Linked DNA regions of Drosophila melanogaster. The protein of the gene in region 2 interacts with the protein of the main gene of each other region in a pairwise test. Each region holds a gene or a part of one and is shown on either strand. Other genes may lie near its edges.

Evidence for each region. The genes of interacting proteins can lie anywhere in the genome.
Region 1: the proteins of CG42806 (region 2) and Obp19d interact in a two-hybrid assay, tested with the Drosophila melanogaster proteins (one large-scale study listed by BioGRID).
Region 3: the proteins of CG42806 (region 2) and CG12730 interact in a two-hybrid assay, tested with the Drosophila melanogaster proteins (one large-scale study listed by BioGRID).

Annotation. Positions count from the first base shown.
Region 1 is NC_004354.4:20,415,515-20,421,479, reverse strand, and holds Obp19d (Odorant-binding protein 19d), read right to left. Parts: upstream 1,868-5,965; 5' UTR 1,343-1,867; coding exon 1,195-1,342; intron 1,065-1,194; coding exon 976-1,064; intron 904-975; coding exon 767-903; intron 703-766; coding exon 624-702; 3' UTR 501-623; downstream 1-500. Other genes in the region: Obp19c (Odorant-binding protein 19c), read left to right, coding at 2,715-3,029, 3,096-3,308; Obp19b (Odorant-binding protein 19b), read right to left, coding at 3,809-3,893, 4,264-4,486, 4,552-4,735; Obp19a (Odorant-binding protein 19a), read right to left, coding at 5,136-5,339, 5,415-5,582, 5,643-5,711.
Region 2 is NT_033778.4:13,961,093-13,968,318, forward strand, and holds CG42806 (uncharacterized protein), read left to right. Parts: upstream 1-3,560; 5' UTR 3,561-3,826; coding exon 3,827-4,093; 3' UTR 4,094-4,363; downstream 4,364-7,226. Other genes in the region: CtsL1 (cathepsin L1), read left to right, coding at 102-173, 1,128-1,244, 5,663-5,877, 5,938-6,649.
Region 3 is NC_004354.4:5,512,607-5,519,271, forward strand, and holds CG12730 (uncharacterized protein), read left to right. Parts: upstream 1-4,001; 5' UTR 4,002-4,814; coding exon 4,815-4,892; exon of another isoform or gene 4,893-4,894; intron 4,895-4,965; coding exon 4,966-5,238; intron 5,239-5,437; coding exon 5,438-5,533; 3' UTR 5,534-6,165; downstream 6,166-6,665.

The DNA.
Region 1 (5,965 bases), on a different chromosome or scaffold from region 2:
CTAACTAATAGGTTTAATGACCATAGCCCAAGACCCTGAGAATTCGCCTTGCGTAGACGGACCGCAATCGGAGCCGCCGTCTTCTCGACACGAATTCCCTGGGCTTGGGCAGCATACTATACTAGGAGCCCAAGTTGAGCAAATAGATATTTTTACCGACAGATTGCGTTAAGTCGGCTAAGCTAGGACATATTTAGGGGAGCCGAGAGCGAACGCGCATCCCTGGCTGGGTCCCTTCTCCGCAGGATATCACCTGGAGAAACCCAGGTACGAAGAACATCGTGCATTAATAAATAGTGAGTAAGAATCTTTTAAATATGCCCCAGATTGGGAGATGATATACAAAAAAATGTACTTGTATTTATAATAATAAAGATTGTAATATAATCGTCGAAATTGAGCAAGAATTTTTTATTAGTAAATTATGGGTCCCGAGGAGTCTTGGAGGATAACCACACCCATACGAATCCCCCTTCACAATCCAACAAACAATCAAGCCTGCAGTTTCTCAGTTTATCAAGTACTTAATTCATAGTATACACATAAAAAAAAAAGATGGTTATATTCCAGAAGGGCGCTTGTGATACAGTAACGGGGGGTCGTCATGGGTCTCAAATCTGTTCTCAGTGCTCCTCCAGCTCGAGTCCATGCTCCTTCATTTGCTCGTAAATGCATTCCTCGTAGGCGAAGGCAGCGTCGCAACTGAAAATGGCAGCATGATTATAGTCCGGATTTGAGCCAACAGCTTCCGGCGAGCACTACTCACTGATCCTCGGGTGTCTCGATGGCCTCGCACTTGGCCACCACCTCGGCGGGAGCGTCTTCCTTCTCTGCATCGTGCTTGCTCATGACCTTGACCAACTCGATGGCGTGTTCCTTGTTCAGCTTACCGGATTCATCCATCTGCAATGGGAGGGAGAATGGAATGGGTGGTGGTGAGTGGATCACACTTCCTGCCGGAGCAGCAGCACTCACTATCTGCAGCTTTTTCATCACGCAGGCGCGCAGGCACTTGGCCTCGTGTCTCTCGGGCAGGTCGTGGCTCATCAGCTGCTCCACATCCTCTGTAAGCGATATATCATATGATTGATAATTGCACAATAACTATCCTAACACATCCACCACAGGTAGGAGTGGTACGCTGACAGCTGTATTCCCTACTGAATTTTCTGCACTGATGACCATCTGACTCACCATCGGTGGCTCCCGTCTCAGCCTTGCACTCGTTGGCCAGCTCGGCGGCGTGGTCCCTGTTGATCTCCTCGTGCGGCTTGGCGCTGGTGGCGCCCAGGCAGAGGATGCCCACTAGGAGCAGGACGGTCAGGTGAACCAGATGCGACATTTCGATTTGCGATTGAACTGCGCGACGTGCGAACTCTGACTTGGATGCGAATCGCCGGCAACGTCGGCGTTTTATAGGAGCTATTGCCTAAGCCGAGTCCCGTGATTGATTTGGCAGATCGGATCCATCGCCGATCTCCAGCTGCGTCTCAAGCAGCTCCGGCAATTACGCGCAATTATGAACTACATGGGCAGCACATGGCACATGGCACTCCACTTCACTCCGCCGCTCTGGACGGGATGGGACGGAATCCGGCGGAGATGCCCTCGACTGGGCATCGTGTGAACGAGTGACACCCCGCTGGAACTGCCGCTGCCAGATGAGATGGCCCACCGATCTCCACTTACCTGCTTAATTGGTGACTGGCATGAAATCGCTGCAAATGCCGGGGATATAGAATTGGGAATGGCTATGGCTAGTGGAAATGGAAATGAAAATGCAAAATGCTAAATGCAAAATGAGAGATGAGAAATCCCGCTTGTAATTAAATCGATCAACAGCTCTGGGTGAGATGAGTGATTGTGACTGGCGGGGCCATCGAGCGATTATACAATTATATGGAACTGGGCGAACTGGGAACTGCGGTTGCCGCCTGCCAAATTGGCCGTTTAGGCCATAATATACCCTTCATCTGTCCGCCTATTTCCCAGTTTGCCCGTCAGCCTGCCGACTTTCTGATCATTCCGAGTGCCAACGATCGCTATCTGAGTTCCATCCAGTCAGTCTGTTTGTCCATCCATCGAGTGGAGATTTTAGCACGCAATCTATATTATTGTGGAATCCAATAGATGGAATCGGATTGCATCGTGTGAGCATGTTGCATGCTAATTTTTATTCCAATTGGATTGAGTGGGGCTTACTAGCCCCATTAAGATCTTTAACAGGTCGGAAGTCTGTGTGATCGAGTATTATACATATATGTACATGGTAAATCATCCAACAAATAAGTCCGATTGATAATATATGTATATATCTAAATAATTCGGTTGCGAGCAAATGGCTTACTTTCATTTTAATTAACATTGATATTTTCAAATGTATTATTCCAAAAATGAATATACCTTACAAACCTTGGTACTTTGATAGACCTATCAGGTTTCCAGATTGAAGATCTACATTAATCCGATATTGTCATTGTCTCGAGTGAACTGACACATCGCTGGATAGCGTTGGCGATGTCAAATATCGTCTTTGGAGCGTGACTTGTGCGGGTGACGAACTTGGGTGATGAACTTGGCACTGGAGAAATGCTTGCAATCAGCAAAATCAAGCGACGATGCCATGTGCAGACGACTATGGTGTGAGGTCATGGGTCAGCTTATAAGCCAAGGGGCCAAGCAAGAGCAGAGCCAAAGAGAAAGCAGCTGCCAAGATGAAGCCATCCACTCCAGTCGCAGCCATTCCGCTAATGACGATAGTGGTCGCTGTCCTGCTGCAGACGCACTGCGTCCGTGGCCAGACCCAGGCTTTCGATCTCGCCAAGCTGCTGCCCAAGACCGGAACGGAGCCCATCTGGGCGGTAATCGATCGCAACTTGCCGCAGGTGCAGGAGCTGGTCACCGCGGCCAGGATGGAGTGCATCCAGAAGCTGCAGCTGCCCAGGGACCAGCGACCGCTGGGGAAGGTGACCAATCCAAGTGAGAAGGAGAAGTGCCTGGTGGAGTGCGTGCTCAAGAAGATCAAGTTGGTGAGTAGCCGGACGTTTGTCACAACCAGAACTAAAAGGTCACTAATACTTCTCATTCGCACCCAGATGGACGCCGACAACAAGCTGAACGTTGGCCAGGTGGAGAAGCTGACCAGCCTGGTGACCCAGGACAACAAGATGGCCATCGCCGTTAGCTCCAGCATGGCGCAGGCCTGCAGCCGCGGCATCTCCTCGAAGAACCCCTGCGAGGTGGCCCACCTCTTCAACCAGTGCATCAGTCGCCAGCTGGAGCGCAACAACGTAAAGCTGGTCTGGTAGAGGACATCTCCGCGCCATGGACACCACCACCAACTACCACTTGAGATCTTAACTACGAGTAGAAAGAAGGTGTCTCGCATATTTTGGCCATAATCTTAGCTACAATGATTTCTCAGATAATTTTAACCGAAAATGCACAATCTATTAGGCAATATAATTATATATTAAATACTAGTTATACGATTTTCTAGTACTAGATCAAGTTTTAGTTGCTCACTCGCAATTGATTTGAATAAATCTATATATACAGTAATTTATTTCCCATTTTTGCACAATAAAAAACACAATCTTTCGCAGTTCCAACTACGGGATTACGTACTACATATGTGATTCCCACCCGATAAATATGCATAATTCGTAACTTGTTGGTTGGGCGCTTTATTAGTTTGGGAAACCACTCCAAGTTCTCTAGCTTTGGTAATTAAATCGAACTGAATCACTAACAAAAAAAAAAGGGAGGGAGAACATGCAATGGTGGGCCAGCGAGCAGCTCCATGGCCTCATTCCTTGATCTCGGGAATCTTGAAGCCCGAAGAGCGCATCTCGCGCAGCATGCACATAGCGATCCCGTGGGCTGCCTCGCACCTGAAAAAAAACCAAAAACAAATAAGATCCTTTTCAGAAATACTTTAAAAATATTTCAAACAATTTTTAAAGCTTTTGGGAGCACAGTTGCCTGGCCACCTATAAAAGGTATTCCAAAATATTGAAACTCTCTTCCTGAGAAGAAGTGTACGAAAAGGTTCTTCAAAACACACGGCAACTTAAACTCCTGGCACTTATCTTTTCTTTCGAATACAGCAGAATATTTTCGAAATGCAGCAAGACTGAAAAATTCGCCTTAGAACCGTTTCAAGTTTTTGCTTTGAAGTAAATTCACTCCGCATCTGGAATACACTTCGCTGGACTAACAATTACTAGACACTAGGGTCCTCCATTGCCCCACCACACTCACTTGTCCTGCTCGGCCTTTAGCTCCTCGTTGCAGGTCTTGACGATGCGCCTGCCGTCGTCCTCGCGATCCGGGAACATCATGTTGATCATATCGACCGTCTTGTCCTCGTTATACTGCAACTGATCCTCGGGCATCAGCTCGAACTGCTCCAGCATGCAGTGGCGGAAGCACTTGGTCTCGTGCTTGGCGTCCTCCTTGTTCAGCACCATCTCGACGATGTTCTCTGCGGATATGGTATGTTATGGAATGGTATGGTAGGATGGGTGAGTAACCCAACGGTGCACTTACCCCTCGACGGCTTTGGCGTGCAGGCGTCGCCAAAGGGCTCGATCAGCTCCACCACCTCGTCCACGGTCATGGACCCCTCCTCCTCGTCCGCCGTCGCCGATCCCATCAGCACGGCGGCGCAGGCCACTGCTAGCAGAAGGTTCGTCATCTTCAACGTCGTCGTCATTCGGCTGCACTGCATCATTTTTGCTCTTCTTGTGAATAGTGGACGGACAGCAATCGGCGCCGGGCAATTTATACCCGCCGCAATCGTGTCCAGCACATCCGGTACAAGCAAATCGCCTCGGATGTAGATCAACCGGCGATAGCCATGACATTGCTGGGGCGGATCATGCAAGCCCCACCACAACCACAGCCAACCACCCATTCGTCCATCCATCGCAGCCCAGTTAAAATACAGCACAGATGACGGGGCCCTCCGGCTAGCTTTTATTGATCATCTGGTCAGGGGATTGGGCTTGGGTGTGGGTTTAGGATTGCGGACAAGAGATATACATATCTACTTTATTTGCTGCGGAGTCACCTGTTCCGAATGCCAAAGTGTGACGCATCTGGTATCGCATTGGCAGCCTCGGATGGAAAGCCTAGGGAAACACGAATACCTTGATGTTGTTCTTCAGGCAGCTGAGCAGGGCGTGGGCGGGATCGCAGTTGGGGGCGTTCTTCAGGCCGACGGTGGAGTCCTTGCACAGATTGATGCCCTTGCGGTACTCGTCCTTGTAGCTGTCCGGCAGCATGATGTCCATCTGCTTGAGGGTCGACTCCAGCTGGAACTTTCCCTTCTTGATCTAAGCAGGAGCAGAGCGGAAAGAAGGAGCTGATAATGTAACCAACACAGCCGATGGAAACTTCTTAATACGTACTGCCTGCATCATTTCCAGGATGCAATTGATGTAGCAGTTGGTGTCCTTGCTATTGGGTATGTCACCGTTGCGAATGTTGTCGGCCACCTCGACGCTGACCTTCGGATACTTGGGCAGGCAGACGTCGCGCATCAGCTTTCCGGCAGACCACATCTGCTCCTCCGTCACCTGCAAGTGGACAGTATCCATGAGGCATCCTCCGGCAGAGAGAAGAGCTTAAGGACCTACCCCTGCCTCCGACTGGGGGATTGGTCCCAGGGATATGGCGACGCAGACCAGCAGCAGATGGAACTTCATTTCCGAGACGATTTGGCGGATTCCAGACTCCAGACCCATCGGCGACTCCTTTTATACACGGCCCCCGACATGCAAATGACTTCATATTGGTTCGATCGAACCGCTAAGTGGGTGTGGGAATTATGGGTTAGCGCCAATCGCCGCCCCCACTGCCCATTTCCATATCCAAATGGGCGGGCGGTGGGTGGTGTTCCTGGGGCGGATTACTTTCTGGCCGGGCTATAATCTTGCCACGTTAATTGACAGTGTACACA
Region 2 (7,226 bases):
TTTAGATTCTGTTGCGCTTCTTTGTTTAGATTTTGTCCAATTCCCCTTTGTGCTGACCCATTTTTCTAGTCTTTGTGGTTTTTAACTCACCTGATAGCCAGATGAATCACCTTGGCGTTTTTGAAACCCGTTTTCGCCCTCGAACTAGGCACAAATCGCAGAGGGCACAATTGGTAAATAACAACTTTTATCAAATGCCTCTCACGTTTCTCAAAATGGGCGCAAAAACAGCAAGACAATGATAGAAAAACAATAAGTGAAGCAAATCGCGCAAAAATGGCAGACTTTGAAAGCAATACGAAGCTGCGAGGCAAAGTGGAATGGCCGATAAGATAACGCATCGCCATCGAAAAAATAAAAAAAAACAAATATTAAACTATATTGTTTATCACAAAGCAAATGTCAATATATTTACAAACGCCCCGCAAATCAGTCAAGTTTTATAGAAATAATTTTTATGTCTCTATAAAGAGAATATTTTACGCTAAAATCGAGAGAAGCTTCTTTAAAGGATCAAATTTCTCAAATTTGAACCGTTATTTATTCTTTCATTTTCACTCTTTTCTATGCTTACAATGATATATTTAAAAACTAGTTTTTCAAAACCATGTCTGTTACGAATTTAATAAAGAATTAAAATAATATATTTACAAAGCTTCTATTGCTAGATCTCAGATTGCTTATAGTTTTATACATTAAGTTAGCCTCAAATAAATAAATAATATTAATAACCTTTTTTTTATTATAAATTTGCAATAAATTGCAATTTGGTGCAATAAATTCCATATTTTACCCAATAAATATTAAATATTTTGCAGTGATTTTGATCGTTAGAAATTTATTAAAATATTGCTTAGGCTCATGACAAAGTTGCTAAGATAAAACTAATACTTTAATAGCACAAATTATGCTAATTAACCACAATTTAATAGTATGAATCATGAACAAGTGCAAGAAACTGACTTTATTCACAACTTTCCTTTATCGCTCGAGCAGCTTAGAATATGTATTTTACTTTAATTCGAAGTTAGTGAGCCAGCCCTGATATTTTGCAATCTGGTTTAGTGGCTTCACGTGACCGACACTCCGATTGTTAGTTTGCTTACTAATTGTGTGATTTCTTGCAGATTCCAGAACAAATCACAATGCGCACAGCTGTTTTGCTGCCACTTTTGGCCCTGCTGGCGGTGGCTCAGGCCGTTTCCTTCGCCGACGTGGTCATGGAGGAATGGCATACGTTCAAGGTGAGTTTCAACCGGATCATCTAGGGATCATATTTAATTCGCCAGGCCGAAGAGGCAGATAACAAGTGTTCTCCGGTAACAAGGGCTTGATGTGTAATGATGATTAATCCATTAATTTTTTTTTTGGGCCTTTGTCTTCTGTCCGACTTTGTTTGCATAGTTGGACGCGCGGCATTCTTCCGTTTGTGACGATTCCGCACTTCTGACTTCTGAGTCAGCAGCCATTGCGAGTGTGAATGCACTGCTGCGCGGCTGCCTCAAAGAGACGGAAGGAGGATTCAGATAAGTCCAAAAGTCTAGGCTGTCGTCCAGTCACATGCCGGCTCACATGACCGCAAGCGGCAAGCTGGGCTGCTTTGCTTAGCCCATCCGTAAACATCGGCTGGATGGGCAGATAATCCAAGTCGTTGTGTCGCCCACTTTCGCTACGCTCGCGGTTCATTTCCCGCCGATAAGCCGTGCAAGACTCAAACTGGTCCACTGCCGGCCGACTGATAAGGCGCGGGTCGCATATTTGCCATCACACTTTTCGCAAGCCATGTTTCCTAATGCGACTTCGATTTTTGCCCCCTTCTATTGCATATATATGTGTGTCCATGGTTCCATTGATGATTGGGCCAATCATCCTTTGTCTCGCAGCCTTCACTTGCAACTTCGTCTGCTTATCAATGGTGGATTGTCTATTGATTAATTGAATGCGCCCCTAGTGTCGTCTAATTCTTATCGCCAACAGTCAGGGGTCGTGATTTTTTCCATTATTTTACTGAATAGTTCCGTGCCAAGCGTCATTAGCCCCAAATGGGGGCGTACAAATAATAATTAGCTGTTTGTGCAGAGATCTCATGTGATAAGGGGGATATATGTACATCTCTATATATGCATATTGGTTTAATAACTTTGGATATTTTGCCTTTGATGGTTTTATATTCACTTTTCGAATTCAAATTCAAATGCACCCGCATATGCAATATATGCATATAACTTTATTTCCCTTCCTTTTTTTATCTGCTGTTAAATATCATATTCAATTGAGTGACTCATTTGTTAGAGTAAGCACAGAGTGGTGTATTAAATTATTGTTTATAAATAACAAAGTCTGATCAACTGAAAGAATAGGAATCATATTTATGGAAAGAGTTACTCATCCTTAATTAAAAATAAAAAGAAAATCAACTAAACATTTGCAATTTCCCCACTCATATATTATTTACCTAACTAAATTTTCTTTGATCATCTAATTTAGTTTAGATTTAGTTTTCTTTTTTTTTTCAAAATAAACTCACAATTACTTTACATTTGCCATTTTACATTTCGAGACCGTTAGGTGTCATGTAGAATACTGCAAACGCTCGGTCACACTGCTGCAAACAGTGCTACCCATGCTTGCTTGGGGAATGAAAGGCGCGCAATTTAAATGTGATAACGATGCCAACCATTAGCTCTCACTGCTTATAGTTAGTTAATAAAAACGACATTATCTGTAATGTGTGTGCAGTCCAAAGTGCCACAGTTGTCGGTTGCAAATGCACAGCTGCAAAAGTCAGCGTTGAGCAACTGTGGCACTGATAAGCTCTAAAATTCCAGATTAATGCGTTTTAATTTAAGCAGCTATTCGCATAGTTCGGCAAATATTCAACAACAATATTTAAGAACAAGTCGTGCGGGGGGCCGCGAGCATTTTGGAAATGACGCGCTACAAATCGGCGTTGCTTATCAAATTGCCATTTTTCGCTGGCATTTCCGAGAGCCGAAAGAGATTTCTAGCATTAATTCCCCGAGTGACAAGTGCACAAACAAATCGGCTGCCGTAAATAAACAAGCTGGGAAAAATTTCGCTGACTTGCAAAAGCAGCATGCGGCTCTTTTCTTACATTTTTTATTAAAGATACATAAGTTTCTGTTTTTTTTTTCGTTTTTTTTTAAATCTGTTACTTCTGCTAACCGGTTGGAGCAAACATATTTGAATAGCTCGCCTGAAATCCTTATAAATCAAAATGAAACCGGTTCGCCTTTTTGAGCAAACCCACAATGCGCGCGCTGCAAAACAGAAGGAAATATACGAAAAAGCATAAGAAACAAGAAATATATAGAGTACGCCCGCCTGCCATCCTCCAAATTGGTTGGCCTACGTAGATTGGGCTCTCATTTCGATTTCGGCGATACGAAGAAAGAGTGTAGAGTGTGTTGTGTGCGTGTGTGAACTCGGCTCTTTTTCGCCCCGCCGTCATGCGATTGAGTTTGCGTTTGCGAGCGGACCACCACCATCACCACCACCACCACCAAAAGCGAAGCAGCCAGCTCTGTCGTATTTTTGTTATTCCCGAACCGACGCTCCACGCCAACGGAACGCTCGAGCAGCCAGCGGCAGGCAGTAGCAGCAGCAGTGCAGAGCGCAATATATAGAACATTTGAGAGAAAAGAAATAAAAGGAGCCAAGTCAGACGGGGCCCCCAGCGGTGGTAGTAGAAGTACGGAAAAGCACGCGCGTCATCGTAAAAAACGTGCTACGAAATCGCAGGGAGACGGGCGGTAATAGCAAATAAATTACATAAAAACCACGGAGGAGCAATCACAGCATAAGAATGACCGATACCAGTGCAAATAATTTGGATGTATCGGTGGATGTGGTCTGGCCGACGATAATTGTCCTGGCCATGCTGGTCATAAATGGCTTCGTTTTCGCCTACATTATGCGCAAGCGGCGGGAATACAAATGCCAGGAGGAGGAGCTGCAGCAACAACAACAACCTGTTCCACATTCCTCCTATGCGGCCACTTCGACAACGGAACGGCATGCGGATGCGGATCAGGAGGACGATAGCTGTGCCATCGAGATGGAGCGACTGTAGGGATGGAGATCGCACTAGCTAAGCTCTCTGATACTCAACTACTATCGTCCAAGCTTCTCAACTGCAACGAAGTTTCCTAAGCCACATATGTAGTATATCTAGATTGATAGATACAAAACGTATACGTCGAGTGCCTGGATATCACATCGGATCGCACGTGCATTTAATTACGGTGTTTTTAAGTTGTTAACTCTATCTGCATATATCGCAAATTCAAATTTTCTACAAAAGTATACAATAAATGTGTGAATTTTATCATGCGGCAACGAGAACCAACGACGTTTGCAAGGAAAATCAATAGGTCAGTGTGCCGGGAGGCGCCTCTTTTCTGCCGTTACCACCTCCTCCCTCGAAATCACAACGGGCGGGGTTTCATTTTGCTGCAAGACTCGAATTCGATTCAATTATGTCAATTATAGGAGTCAACCACGGACCAGTGGACCCCATCCGGTCCATTTGGGGCGACAATTGCTGATGCTGGTCCGCTTTGATGTCCAAAAGTAATTACACATGCATGTTTCTCACATGACAGCGCCACTCGACTGTTCAGTTCAATGTGCCAAGTACCCTGGAATATTGCAAAATCTACTAAGACTTGTGGTGAGCCACTTAAAAAGCGATTAGGTTTGGGTTTATACCCATATTTCACTGAGAAAACATGCCACTTTGAGTGCGTTGAAGAGTCGCAAAAAAATAACCAGTTTAGCAATAAACACTTTTGGAAAATGCATTTCAGTTTAGCATGTTTGCTATTTGGATATTCGTGAGCAGTAATAATGAGTTTTGTTGAATAATTCTATATACTTAACTTAACTTTCATAAACTTTTCGATTCTATGCAAAGCCGCTAATTTGGTATTCAGACAAGAGGAAGTCAATTTTTATTCACAAATTTCACTTTGAATCGAAAACTACCCCCATATAGTGGCATTTGCCGAATCTAATGGATAGCAACCTAGTCGACTTCTTGCCCTGGCCTTTCAATTCCCTTTATAGCTATCATTTGTTTAGCGTTCGTGCTATTTTCGTGCTGTGGCTGTGTCAATATGCGGGTCGGACTAACAAACAACCCCGAGCTGGGAGAGGAGGTCTCTTATCCACGGGACCACTGCAGGCAGATGGAGCGCATTTCCTCGTGCTGGCCTCGCTTCTCCTATTCCTACCTGCAGTTTGGCTCGTTTGTTTACTACCTGGAACATTAACACCCGTTTCAAGTTCCTGTCGTTGGGCAATCGTTAAACACAATTTTATGACCATGTTTTATAGATTTATAGAGCTTGCTACTGTGGCCGTTCCTCTAGAGCGTTTCGCTCGTGCCAGGTTGACGGCGCTGTGATAAGGTGTAATCTGCAGATTAAGAACTTTTGCCTCAGCGATCGTAAATCCATTTTACGTAAAACATTTTATTTGATTTTTAATAGAGTTCCCAAAAATGCGTCTAAAAAGTTAACTTTTCATTTGGTTGGCTTTATCTTATCTTGAAACAAGTACACGAAAGTCAATCGATAGTAGCACTTACCTTTGATAAGAGTGCATTATCTAACTAATACTAATACTTTTCATTATGCAGCTGGAGCACCGCAAGAACTATCAGGATGAAACCGAGGAGCGTTTCCGCCTCAAGATCTTCAATGAGAACAAGCACAAGATTGCCAAGCACAACCAGCGATTCGCCGAGGGCAAGGTGAGCTTCAAACTGGCGGTCAATAAGTACGCCGATTTGCTGCACCACGAATTCCGTCAGCTGATGAACGGCTTCAACTACACTCTGCACAAGCAACTGCGGTAAGTTGGGATCGTTAAGGATTATAATGTGCACATATTCAACTTTGCATTCGCTTTCAGTGCCGCCGATGAAAGCTTCAAGGGAGTCACCTTCATCTCGCCGGCTCATGTGACGCTGCCCAAATCTGTGGACTGGCGCACCAAGGGAGCTGTGACCGCCGTCAAGGATCAGGGACACTGCGGCAGCTGCTGGGCCTTCTCCAGCACAGGCGCCCTCGAGGGTCAGCATTTCCGCAAGTCCGGTGTCCTCGTCTCGCTGTCCGAGCAGAATCTGGTCGATTGCTCCACCAAGTACGGCAACAATGGATGCAACGGCGGTCTCATGGACAATGCCTTCCGCTATATTAAGGATAATGGAGGCATCGATACCGAGAAGTCCTATCCCTACGAGGCCATCGATGACTCGTGCCACTTTAACAAGGGCACAGTCGGAGCCACCGATCGTGGATTCACCGATATTCCCCAGGGTGATGAGAAGAAGATGGCCGAGGCTGTGGCCACCGTTGGTCCCGTTTCCGTCGCCATCGATGCCTCCCACGAGTCGTTCCAGTTCTACTCGGAGGGCGTCTACAACGAGCCGCAGTGTGATGCCCAGAATCTGGATCACGGTGTGCTGGTCGTTGGCTTCGGCACCGACGAGTCCGGCGAGGATTACTGGCTGGTGAAGAACTCGTGGGGCACCACCTGGGGCGACAAGGGCTTCATCAAGATGCTGCGCAACAAGGAGAACCAGTGCGGCATCGCTAGCGCCTCCAGCTATCCCCTGGTCTAGAGCAGAACTGATGTAGTTTAGCCCCAGCATTCATATGATATGATTTAGAAAAGAAACAGAAAAGATACCAACGCAAGCATCTCAAAAATGAACTTTAATAATTTAGCCCAACCTCATATTTAATGAACTAATTTTGTAATGGGTCCATTGTATTCGCGTTTCTCTGCCATCATGTATGATATAGGTGAACAACAAATCTGTTGATGTTTGTAGAAAAATAAATAAAAATTATATAATTTTAAAAATTGAAGTTTTTGAATTGGGAGAGAAGTTATTTTGGCAAATCAAAGTTTTGCAGTCAACTAAGTTTGGTTTCTTTTCACTCAAGACATCCCTTAAAAATATATTTTATGTATTTTGCTTTGAATTTGTAATATTTGATTACTTATTCACAATTTTTAGTTTTGATTTAAAAAATACATTTCAATTCATACAATTTCATACAATTTCTGTTCAACACTTTCGCTTTCCGGCAGATGGCGCCAGGTGGTTATCCAACAGCTCTGTTAGTGTGCGCCTAACAGCACAGTCCGTGCTGCTGAAGCCTTGCGACTGCTGTAGAAAATTATCGATATGT
Region 3 (6,665 bases), on a different chromosome or scaffold from region 2:
AGTTGCATTTTGCGTTTGCAATTTAATCATAATTATACTGCGCATAATGCGAAACACTCACGCATTTGCCAACACTTGAGGCACAAATTTTCATCGCATCCGTTCTGGAAAATCTGCTCGTTTTTCTAGGACTACGAGTATCTGTGTGCGCAGCGGCAAATTGAAAACTCTTAATGTCGTTTGTGATTTGATCAGGGCACCTCGTTAGTTTGGGCCCGCGGCGAAAAGGGAAGGCAGCCAGTTGGCAACTGCTAACTGATAATTTGATTATTATTATTATATATCTATGTAATATGCAGCGGGCTGCTGTGTGCATGTGTGTGCCTTGTGTGCGCTTGTGTGTGCGTGCGGGTGTGGCCAATCATCAGCTCGGATTTCCATTTTTCCCGCTTGTTGCCTTGGGTGCCATAGATATGTGCATGCGAATCCGCATCTATGTATGTACATATATGTGTGTAAGTAGCAATTTCCTCTCACCCCGCATGTGTGTGTGTGTGTGTGTGTGTGCGATATGTGATGTCTTTGTGTGCGCTGCTCTTAGATAGATCGAAAATTGTTGCTAAAGTCACTTGTGCTGTCGTAATTTCATAAATTGCGTAATTGCATTGCCATTGGAGGAAAGGGAAAATGCGATAGGGAGTGAAAGATGGTGCAGTGTTTGATTAAAAATAACTTATTCCCAAATGATGTCTAATTTGCATCGGTTACAAGCGAAAGAAAACTTGCTTGTTTATTGAAGCCAGAAAAGTTCTCATTTCCATGTGATGCGCAATATTTCGTAGCATACTTTCAGGCTCTTAATTGGTGCATTTCCAATGCATTGCAATGCCACGCGCACAAAACGAGCATACTTATTCATTATTTGTCACATCAATTTAATTGATACTGAAAATAATATAGAAAGGGCAAGGTGTACCTTTATTTGGCCCACTCGTATTTCCGAGAATCGAAACCACAATTAGGATCCAGCCAACCGAGCTGAACTGAAGATGGCCTCGCCTTTTGTTAACCGAATGCACACACTCGGTTGCCATATCGAGTGCATATATATTATTTACCAAACATGTACTTGAGTTATCACCGATACCGTATGCAAACGTAAATTTCCTTTGGCTTTTTGACTACGTGGTCATTGGTCTACGTGCCAATCCAATTTCCTCGGCACATTGACTGTGGCTTTTCCTTGGCACGCTTTCAATTCGAATTTGCCGACATCGAAATGCAAAAAAACAAAAAAAAAATCAGAAAAAAATATAGAGGAAAACAATTGGGGTGCCAGCGACTCGGGACCCCTGCACCTGTAACTGGCTTTTCCGTAATGGCAGACAACTTTTCAGAGCAGCGCCAGCAGAGCGAAGCGTTTACATAAGTGGCAAGTACGGAGTCGTAAATCGTGGCAAATCGAGTTCGGTGTTCCTCTGTTTCCCTGGACCACCTGGCCAAGTGAATTGATCAAAAATCACGCGAAGGAAATTGCTTTAAAATGTGCAGCGGCAGCTGAATTCAGCGAAGAGCAGATACTGAAAATGAAGTGGAAAAATCGCAGGGAGCTTGTGAAAAGTGTGTACAATTCGGGGGAAACGGGCCAATGAAATGCCAATTAAATTGATTTGAGACTCAACCAATTTTTTTTTTCTTTTCCATATACTCGTAGGAGGTCATTAATGAGGTCTATAGGAAAATGTATTTTCGTTGATTGATTGACGGATTGATTGGCAATTCATTAGCATAAATTACCCGCAGAAACCGAACTTAAAGTGAAAGTACCACCAGCGAAAGCTTAATGCCCTTCGAATCTAGTTATGCTTCGGGCTTTAAATAATATTTTCATTTCAAGTAAATTCGTTTACAACATCATTGAAAGCTGTCGAAGAACAGCAGCTCCATGCACCACAACTGAGATGACAGTAAGCTCGCGAATATGAGATGAGCCTCCAGACAAAGAGATACAGATAGCAAATAAAGGATATTTAAAGAATGGCGGCAAGGACATCCTGTTGCACTTGGCCCATTTGATTGATGACGTTGGCACTTGAGTGCACACGATAATCATTTATAAGGCGCATAAATGTTCTGTTCCCCGGGGGGGAAAAAGCTGGAAAATCCGAGGGGGGAAATGGGGGTGGTTGTCAGCTGGCGGATAAAAAGCGCCCAAAGTCGAAGGGAATATCAGATTCAAATTCACTTGGCAGATATGCTGAGGTCGTTGCTATTTTTGGGGTATTTCGGGATTCGAAATTAGGGGGGGTGGTCTTGGTCTTGTCACGTCAGCTGCAGAGTCTGACAGCCACTGCACGAAATTTGCATTCAAATCGAGCCGTGTATCTGGGCAACTTAGTATCTGTATCTGACAGATACCCAGCTGGCACACTTCTTTGTCGAGGTTGAGAAATGGCTACGGCCCAACTTGCCGCTTTCTTTCGAACTTCCTTCAAAGTGCCTGAAACTAATTATCTGCCTGCTCGCAAACGTTTACTCCAACTTTCGTTTAATTGGTCATAGTTATCGCCAAGTTTGTCATTATTAAAGATGCTTCTGATGCATCTGAAACTGGATTTTTTCAGCCAGAACACTGCTTAATAGCTCACATGTCGCTTTGCCTTTGGTCCTGCTCCACGTTATCCCGTCGCCAAAGCAAACAAAATCTTGCTGATGCAGCAGCTGGCAATTACAGCGAATGCTTTTCTAATTAGATGCACCCACATTTTCCAATTCCCCCCGGCCCCGCCCCCCTCTCTCTCCGCTGCTCTACAACATGGGTGGAAAAGCGATGGAAATTGCCTGAGTGCGTAAGCGAAAAACCAGCCATGTGCATGAATCGTAGGCGAGATATATCACTAAACAATGCACTCTCAGCAACGTGCCACTGAGTATAAGTTGGATATTTAGTTAAAAACTATTTAGATGCTTTTGCTGTTATTCAGTGGTTTAAAGCGCACATTTATAAAGTCCTCTGTGCACTTATCGAATTCAAAGTCCTAAAGAAATCAAAGAAATGTCCATAGGTAATCATAGCTTTTTGCCATTGAGACTCGCACGCCCTCAAGTGTAAATCCGCTCTCCAGTCAATTTTCTTCGCTTTTCCGCCGCACATTTTCCCCGCTTGTCCAGACGATTCGATGCTTATCGATGAGCGCAAATCTCGTGCCTCCCATATTTATGTATATATATATGTTTATACATATATATGCATGAGCTTTTAGAAATCATGTAGACATTAGTTGCCCTGCAGTCGTCTGACTGTTTGTTACCCTCGAAATGGAAACTGCACTTTATCGCTTAAATTGCTCAAGTGCAGTTCATTTATGATTTTCGTGCTCATTTCCGCTTGTTGTGGCCGATTTCCGTCGCATAGATATCTCACTCAGCATTTTCCGCTCTGCATTAGAATATGTGAATCTGTGAAACTGTGAATGTCTCTGAATCTCAGTCAGTCGAGGCGATTGTGCAAGTGACCTTGGCCAGGAGGCGGGGGCCACCCATGCGGCCATTTCGTAAACGAGCCACCTCTCATGAATATGAGTCAATTAATATAACTCAATTTGATGTCGGGCCAGAGTGTTTCGACTGCTACCCTATACAAGTATCTATGCATTTTCAAGAACTTTAACAATTGAATGTGGAAAATAGTACATGAGTAGCGAGAAATCAAAATTAAATGAATGAAAAAATTGTATCTGTAATATCTTTGTAGCTTTGTATCATAAAATTTTTTTCTTTTGTATGGAGTAGTGTGTTCAAAGTTCGTCAAACTTATCTGGCCACCAAATGGTTTGTGTATATTCACGTATTCCGTATGATATGTGCTGGGCAGCTTGTGTTTTGCAATGTGAATCACGACGAAATTGCATTTGATTTTGGGAGGCTCGCATTTGCATTCGCATTCGGATTTGTGCAGCGATTTATCCGTTAAGTAACTAAATCAATTAGCCTGCTGTGCCGATTAAAATAACGAGAAGCGTTTCGGTCATAGCCGATAACAAATACGATTCGAATGGCACAATCTAATGATGCTGGGCATTAAGATACAGATGGAAATTCGAATGCACAGTGGTCCAAAAAGGGCCCAACCTCAAACTGCATGTCACAAGCAATGCCAGTCATAAAAGCTCGGCACTTCACACGACTAAAAAAGCTTTGCTCACCCAGTAACCGGTCACCTTGCCTTATGAATATACATATATTTAATATATCCCTGGAGGTCAGTGAGTCACACCGTGTTAGATTCACCCCTTGACATCCCCCGAACGAAAATTAGTATAATGTAACGAAGAAGCATTCACAATGAACAGACCCCCAAAACTACAGTTAGTAAGACAAGTTAATATGGTTTATTCATTTATTGGAAATTACAGCTTTCTTAAACTAATAATCCTATTTTTTATAAATACCCAGCTAAAGCTAATCTCCTTAATATTTATAGTTTCATTAGATACCATTTGAGTAGATAACACAATTTGTACACAATATGTACTACATTTCCTGATCGTTTCGTCCCACTGTGCCATGTGTTGCTCGCTCTCTGTCTCTCTCTCTCTCTCTCTCTCTCTCTCTCTCTTTCGCCCGCTGCTTCTCTCGCTCTCGCAATTGTAGTTTTATTCGCCGAGTGTAACGATGGGAGAATTCTGAGTATTTGTGTTGTTTGTATTACTTCAGTGGCATTCTGTGCGTGCTGGCGAGCGCAATATGAATTAGTCAGCGGCGCTTCGCTACATTTGCTACATTGGCTTTAATCGCTCGTTTCTGAGGCATCTATTCGGCTGGACAATCTGGATTAACTGCATCCAAAACGTATATATCTTGTATTGGCCGCGATGTCGTTGACGGGAACCCAGGACTACGATCGCAAATACCTGCTCAGCATGCCGGGCCTGTGCAAGCTGGCCTGTTTGGTAATTAGCCTTACACATATGTGCCATTGTGTATCGCCCTTAATGTGTGCGCTTGTATGTGTGCGTCTTTCAGCTGTGCAGCTTTGTTGGAATATTGTGCATCATCTGCGGACCGGTGCGCGTGAGCAATTTCCGCGGCAGTTTCTACCTGGCCGTAGTCACCATCGGATTCGTGGCCACCGGCTGCCTGCTCCTGGCCAGGTATCTCCGGTTGTGGCAGCGCCAGTTCTGCCGATGCGATCCCACGCTCTGGTCCCTGGCGGTGCACTCCTCATTGGCCCTGGCCTACTTCACGGCCTCCGGACTCGTACTCTCCCTGGATATTGGAGCCTATACGGCGGCGGCGGTAAGTGGCGTTCTCGCAGTTAGGATAAGTTCGGAAACCAAAAGTATTACGGCTCATTGTTTCGGCTAATGATTAAGCTAGGAAAGATACTGGTAAACGAAACACTGAGCCTCCAGTTGGAGCCGATTCATTCCCTCGCTGTGATGAACTCTCTGTAGATCCGTCTAATACACCCTATTCTTCACCTTTTTTTTTACAGTTCTTTGGCCTGACAGCATTTTGCATCAACGGACTGGAGGCCTATGGAAACTATCGGCGCAGTCGCCAGCGGGAGGTGGCCACCCAAACGATATAGACTTGGTTTCAGGTGCACGAACCCAGCTTTTGGTGGCTCTTACTACGTTAGGCTTACTCTGTGTGTGTATCTGTGTGAGAGCGAGTATCTGTGTGCGAACGAGTATCTGTGTGAGTGCCAGTGCGTGCGCGTGTGTGTGAGTTTGTTTTGAGAGAGCGAGTATCGCTTGCGTTTGCTTGAAGCATTTAAGTCTGAAGTTTGAAATTGTGGCAAGCTTTTGTCGCGGGAACAGTTACCGTATGTGTTATCTAATAGTCGCTAGATATAGGTCAAGAAGTGAAGAAGATAAAGCCAGTCGATCGCAGCAATAACGTAGATATAATAGCGAACAGAAAGCGAGAGAAAACCACTAACAAGAGAGCAAATTCCAAAGAGATAAGTTGTATTGTGCCTTCTGGCTCTGCTTCTTCCCTTCTTCTGATAACTGGTTAACAATGCGTGAATATATATGTACATATATATACCCGATTTTTTTTTTACTTTTATTAAGTACATAGTATTTGTGTGTCTCAAGTGAATATACATTGAAGTAGTTAGTTTTTAGCACAATGCTTTTCATGACCACTGAATTGTTGTATTTATAAACAAATAAATCGTTTGCAATGGAAGAATAAAACAAAAATACATAAATGTAATTTGTAAATGAAGGGTGTTTTTTAATGATGAGAGTTCATATGCGTAAATTGGGCTTGAATGTCAATTGTTGATCGTGCATATTGTTATTGATTCATTTACGCAAAAGGCCACTTTCCCGAGGCTATTGTTTATTTATTTTACTACACGAACTACTTTTGCGACCATGTTTGCTTGCACAACAAGCTATTTTCACCTAACATTGCCGGATAGAATTTTTGCAACCGGCGCTCCATGAAAAAGATATCGCCAACCTTTGTTTACCTTATCCGCATTGAAACTGAAAATAAACAGGTACACTATGGTGCCCCCCTGTCTGATTTTGCTTCTTGTTTCGTTTTCGTTTTGGTTTCGGTGCTCTGTAAGCTGTTGCCATTGTTGGCTTTTCAAATCTTTTGAACCACCCACAAACGCAACAACCATCATCACCCAACAAGCAGCACCCAACGCCCACAAAAAAGCACTTGGCTCGTCTATTGTTTGTGTTGTTTTTGGGGGC